2 linked regions of the Schizosaccharomyces pombe genome follow. Each later gene encodes a partner of the first gene's protein in a complex. Each region holds a gene or a part of one and is shown in the gene's direction. Other genes may lie near its edges.

The links.
Region 2: psf1 (region 1) and psf2 share a complex: the UniProt entries of both Schizosaccharomyces pombe proteins name them as parts of the GINS complex.

What each region holds. Positions count from the first base shown.
Region 1 is NC_003423.3:2,013,466-2,016,796, forward strand, and holds psf1 (GINS complex subunit Psf1), read left to right. Parts: upstream 1-1,896; 5' UTR 1,897-2,034; coding exon 2,035-2,643; 3' UTR 2,644-2,831; downstream 2,832-3,331. Other genes in the region: alp5 (Ino80, NuA4 and Swr1 complex actin-like protein Arp4), read left to right, coding at 1-898; serine/threonine protein kinase Ppk32, read left to right, coding at 2,930-2,954, 3,105-3,331. UniProt on the Schizosaccharomyces pombe protein: The GINS complex plays an essential role in the initiation of DNA replication.
Region 2 is NC_003423.3:1,227,648-1,230,861, reverse strand, and holds psf2 (GINS complex subunit Psf2), read left to right. Parts: upstream 1-1,674; 5' UTR 1,675-1,834; coding exon 1,835-2,386; 3' UTR 2,387-2,554; coding exon of another isoform or gene 2,555-2,696; 3' UTR 2,697-2,714; downstream 2,715-3,214. Other genes in the region: acetylglutamate synthase Arg6, read right to left, coding at 69-1,571; nbl1 (borealin N terminal domain-containing protein), read right to left, coding at 2,555-2,696, 2,768-2,936, 2,986-3,100. UniProt on the Schizosaccharomyces pombe protein: The GINS complex plays an essential role in the initiation of DNA replication. Has a role in chromosome segregation and is required for bir1 localization.

The sequences.
Region 1 (3,331 bases):
GGAGACGTGTGCGGCGTTTGCAAGCGGGAAAGGTACTGCTTGTTTAGTAGACATTGGTGCGGAGCGTAGCTCGGTGTCTGCTATATATGATGGTTTTGTGCTTCAAAAAGGCTATCAGGTTCAACATTTTTCTGGGAATGCAATTAACGATATTTTGGCGCAAACTCTCAGGGATAAGAATTTCGAAGTGATGCCTAAGTACTTAGTGAAAAGCAAAAATCCAGTGGAGATAGGGCAGCCAGCTAATTGTGAGTTACGTCCTCGTGATACTACAGATTCTTATCATCAATTTCAGGTCCAGCGAGTCTACGATGAATGGAAAGAAGAATGTGCTCTCATTTCCGATGTTCCATTTTCATCTGAAACCACGATTGCTGAATCAGAGTTCGAATTTCCAGACGGTTCCCGTATGATGTTTGGCGCGGAACGCTATCAAATTCCTGAACATTTGTTTGTGCCAGGAAGTGATGAAGAAATGAACGAGGAACCTTCGAAGCCAATAGAACAAACCGAAAATAATGAGGTATCACAACAAGATTCTTCGGTTACCAACACTTCTTCTCGCATTTTGGGGATACCTCAGTTGTTCCAGAACTGTATTTCGGAATGCGATGTTGATATCCGTGCTTCTTTGCTCAACAATGTTATTGTTTGTGGAGGCACTAGTTTGATGCAAGGATTCTCTCTTCGTCTGCAAAATGAACTTTCAAAATTATATCCTGGCAGCCGTCTTAAAATCCATGCTTCCGGTCATGTTGTTGAACGCAGTTATGCTTCATGGTTAGGTGGATCTATTTTAAGTAGTCTTGGAACGTTTCATCAATTATGGATATCACGTCAAGAATATGAAGAACATGGTTCTGATCGTTTGGCTTTAATCGAAAAACGATGTAAATAATACGTGTAATGATAATTACTAATCTCTAATGAACCTTTAATTAAAAGTCGTTGGATTTTAGGGAATTTTCCTTAAGTGGAAAAAAAGGGGAAACTTTCGTTTGAAATAAAAAATAATTGAGATATTATTACTTTACGTATGAGACTCTTTCCCTGTCCTTATACCTATCATTTGAAGAGAAAATATTGGATCATGTATTTTGCTATCATCAATAAGCATCAAAAGTTTTGTTTTTGTAACAGATTGTTACTCTGGACTGGTTCGTTGGCTCTTTGTGATATTCATGCTATTGAATTTGTGTAATCTTCCGCAGATTATACATAAAGCGGATTTTTTTGAGTACGGCCAATACATCGATTGGATTTTATGTTGTAAGCAGAAAAGAAAGTCTTACTGACAAAATCATTTTAAGCTACATTAAAGCTCAATTATTTGAAGCTAAATATGCCTTGCCATTTTTTGGATATGAGTGATAGGTTTTAAATTGTACCCCTTTAGATTCTAATTTCTCATCAATGTGATTGTTTTATTCCCTTAAAGCCCTGTCCGATGAAGCAAGCACATCGTACTGTGTTCTGAATATTACGTGAGAATTGTAATCATTGAATGATATCCTTTCTTTTATTTTGAAATGAAACTTTATCTGGTTTCTATAATTTTAGTAGCAATGATTTGTAAGTTGATAATTTGAAGCTTCGTTAAATCATCTCTTCATTCCATGTGTGACGATGTGAGGAACTCGGTTTAATGATACCTTTAGGGCTCATTCAATCCTTTGAATTAGTATACATTACTTTATGAAACTGAGGTAATCCAAGTAAGTATACGCTTCATTTTAAATCTGTGTGAATGTTTAAATAATAAATTCTTAAAAATTCGCATAGTAGGTTCAACTAATAATTTTGTTATAAAAGATCCATGTTTTATTTACAGTAAAATTTCTACTAAGGAATGCATCATTATGGTCTTATGAAAGACATGTCATTTTCCAACGACTTGTCATCCACAACCATTCAATATAGCTTTAAACAACTATCGAGTGTCGTTGTTAATTATACTAATCCGTTTCTTTTAAACTAAACATAATTAGGAAAATCTGTTTAAGCATATCGTGATAGTTAGTGCTTCTAATCACTATGGAGAATGGTTTGGGGAATCGATCAAATAAATTAATTCGGGACTCAAAGCGAACTCAGTATTTAGATTATCTCCCACCTTACCAAGCGGACACCGTTAATGATGTTGTCAACGAAATTCGTGCAGCAGATCGCGAAAGTCTAGGAATTCTTCAAAATGTTACACATGAGGCTAGTCAACCTTTCCAGCCCCAGGACCATCCTTCTGAAGCGGCAGCTCTATTGATGTTTCATTCTTCTAGTATCTACAATAAGCGATGTTTAATGGCTTACCATAATTTAAGGCTGCAGCGGCTTCGTCAATACTGTTGGAGCGGAGGCAAACGAATGGAATCTTGTTTAGATACATCTCTAAGTACTTATGAGCGTGACTATTTAACGAGATATTCAGAACTTTTGGCTGCTTATAAAGGCGCTTGGTCCGAGCTGGATTTGACTGGTTCTTTGGTTCCTCCTAAAAATTTGTTCATAGACGTCCGAGTTTTGAAGGACGTTGGAGATATTGAAACTGAATATGGTACTATTAACCTTACTAAAAATTCACAATTGCATGTGCGTGCTACAGACGTTGAACGACTCATTGCCCAAGGTTTTTTGGCTAAGTTATGATTATCAAACTAAAAAATACGACTTTCTTATAATCTTTAATTAATTGTCTTTTTATTTAATCCTCTGTTTCCCAAATAAGAGTTTCACTGCTTTTTGAACTGACCCTAAAAATTTCATCCATAAGCCATTCATTCCTACCATCTCCACTGTATACTACCGCGAAAAAAAGGTGTTCAATTTTTATACTTGGTTTGCTTCGAAGGGATTCAAAAATAATTATAATTTTTTCTTTTTGTTTTTGTTGTTTTAAGTTGTTTTTTTCCAAAGCCATCCACTTTTTCAGCTTATGTTAGCCAATGCACTTCGACTAGGTATGCTATATTCCTTGATAAACTCGATTATCAGCGCTGTATGAAAGATTGTAGTTATGTTTATGTAATTGATCATCCTCATCGTCATTTCTATAATCTATTTAGATACATTTCGTATCCCAAGTAAGTATTCTAACGTTGAATGTTTAGTATCAAATTCCAAAAAAATTAAATATGATTATGATATCCAGAAAGAAAATTCAGTCCAAGTAGGTCCTTGGACTGTTTATTCGGCATCCAAAAAGGGAACCAACGAAGAGGTTTCAGTGTTTACATTTGATAAAAAGAATTTGTCCACCTTACTAAAACGCGGGTCTATTGACTCCAATTTGAAAACAAACTATGTCTTAGAGCTTTTAAGAAAAGATGTGTCTTCT
Region 2 (3,214 bases), 790 kb from region 1:
GTTTGACAAGTGCTTTTGAAGAAGCGAAATAATCTTGTCTCTGATAAAGTGCAATCGTTAACTTCCACTCAATTCAACCATGTTGGCTGAATTTTATCAATAACGCTCATATACTGGTTCACTCGATCCAAATTTCTGACATGTGAGTCTCCAGTCCAGAAAAGTTTCCAAGGTGTTTTGCTTGACTTTAAGGAGCCTACACTTCTTTCAAAGTACCATTTATTGACTGGATTAGTCAGGCGAGAGCGCCATATCAACTCTTTGGGAAATAAATCAGTCATAACATTAAACATAACATCAGATATTGCTGCTGAACCCTGGGCTCCTTGTGAGACGGCAAGCTTATCAAGATAAGGGACCTTTTCATTCGTTGTTCCATCTGGTTGTTCATAAGTTACAATGGCTGTCCCTAAATAGTCCCCTGCAATAATGACTGCAGCTAGCGAATTCTTCAACCTATCTAAATATGCGTCCATATCAAGCGTTCGCTTAAAGGAGTCATTAATTAAAACCCAAAGCCTTTCCCACGAAACGGAGCCATCAGTTAGACATTTCGGACCTAGGAATGTATATACCGGTACACCGCTACGCAAAACAGTTGTTTTCGTAATAGGAGATCGATCGCGCGGCAAGGAACATGAAATAATAGAGCGATCCGTCAAAACATTGTGAATTAACGGATTTTTGTCTAAGACAGGATTTGTAAGCATAGCATCCTCAGGCGTAGTGATTAGAGCAGAGGCATCATCCGGTAACATTTTCAAACAGCGTCTTACCAAAATCAAATTTTTTCTATGATAAGGTGGAAGTGTTTTCGCTAACTCGTCAAACTCTTGAGCCAGATTGATGAGAACATGACTAGAACCAGTTTGTCGTTTAGAACATGGCATGCCACCATTTTTATCAAGAATGACGATTCGGTCTACCCAAAACCCAAAGTTTGGCTTGTGTAACGAGTAAGTTAAACCAGCAAGAACCTCATTACCATCAATTGGAACCTCAATGACGTTGGGCATTAAAATCGAGCTTGGCACTATGACCGTGTAAAGTGAAGACAGCGCTTGAAAAATACCTTGCACATTCTCAACACTAGGGCCTTCAGGGCCCAATTGACATACAGAGGAGTAGCTAGGACGGGTTAACACTCCCGCTTTCGAAAAAATTTCCGAAACTCGAATGACTCTATTTTGCTGTTGCTGTAGCTCCTCAAAGATTGAAAGTTTACGTTTTTTCGCTACGACCGTACCATTCTCCAAATATTTAAAAGGAGATGTCATGCCAATTGGATTGGAAGTGGGAACAATCACTGATTGAATCCCTAAACGTGCCAGGCTATTTATACTTCGACCAATTCCATATAGGGTATTATCACTTAAAGAATCCACATCATCAATTTTGGTAATAGAAATTCTGTTTAAAAACGAACTCGATATTGGCTGAGCGAAGGATTTCTTGTTGGGAGAGCCATCCTTAAGCGAAGAATGTTTTTGCAAAAACCCTTTCGTAGACCTACGAGATTGGACTGATTTCAATATCCAAATAAGGTCTTGTGACAATGAAGGTTTTTGCATTCAAAATTATTACCTTAAAACGAGAAATATAAAAATTTGACAATCATATACCGATGACCTAAGAGCAAGATGTGATTTAGATGAGGGTGACTATTATGAGTCCGAAACCCACCACACAAAAAATTATGCTGTAAGGAATAACAACCAATAAATGCTATAAACGAACTCCAAAATAGAAAAACAAAACTTTAAATAAAAAAAGACATTAAGCCCAAAAACGGTACTATTGATAGGCATTTTTGTACTGTTCGTTGGTGATAGAGATGGCCTTACCAAGGGAACTTGAAATTTCATTCTCACCAGAGGAAATGGAATTTTTAGCTGGCAATGAGTATATTAACATTGTTCCTTCAGAAACAATGGATCAATTGCCGCTAGTTAGCGCGACGATTCCCATTATGAAGCCTCCCAAAAAATGTCGGGTTCCTTTATGGTTGGCTCTTGAGCTAAAAAAGCAAAATTTGGCAAGGATTGTACCTCCGGAATGGATGGAAATAGGCAAACTTGAAAACATACGAGATGATGAATTGGAAAACGAGACATTCTCAGAGTTGCCTTTTCGGTGGCTAGAAACGGCGCATTTATTGTTAAACTTCTGTGCTGATGATATCGAGGATGTTGAGGATATCAGGAGGATTTTGCTGGACATTCGAGAAGCTAGACAAAGTAAAGCAAGAACGGGATTGGAAGCCATTAATGAAGTTCAACTAACTTTGGATAATTTGGGTGCAATGGAAATTAACGAAATACGTCCTATATTTCGAGAGGTGATGGACAGAATGCGCAAAATTGTTCAAGTTTCCCAAGAAGAATGAGTTACTCATCAAAAGTAAAGTGGGAAATAAATGGACTTCACATGAGAATATTTCGGTATCGTGTGGATGATGTACTTTAAAAATAATGATAATGAATCCTACGAAGTGTTTATGAATACCAACTTTGTAGTAGTGAAATTTTATCACAGTAAGCAGTAGATGAGGGTTTCACACTTGCGACTTTGAACTCGATTTGGAAACGGTGGTGCTTTTTGATGAAGAAGAAGAGGAGGATGCCACCGTTTTTGTAGGTTGTCTAGCGGACTTTTGGGAGGAAAGCTCGTCTAGATTATAAAATTCTTTTATTTTTCTGAAATAGTAATTAGCAATTAGTGTTTCCAGTAGTACGTATGGCAAAGTAAAATTTGATATTACACTTACGTTCTCCACGGTGTGGCAGACACATTGCAGGAAAGATGGTTCTTTAGATCGCGCAGATGCATATTTCGTTGAGCGCGAGGAATAGCGGCGATACGCATTTCTCCTCGCATACGAATTGTTGAAGCAAGTAAACTAGCGTTTGAGCGCAAACGTCGTACTTTATCGGAAACTGAAAAATACCCGTTAACACTTTACTACTTCCAGGTACAAAAACTTACGTTCAAATGCTAAATTTTCAAGTATATCGTTCTTGTGTTCTTGGAGAATTCGCTGTCGTACTTGACGATGTTTCGTCTCTCCAAGCTCTTCCACTCTTTTACGCTTGTTCATCATTAAGCATTATAAATTATCAAAAAACAAAACAGATGTTTGCTAACAGCTGATCAAAAGACGGTACTTCTGGGTGCGCTGAAAAGGTGGTGGGAATAAGAGTTGTTGTATAAACAA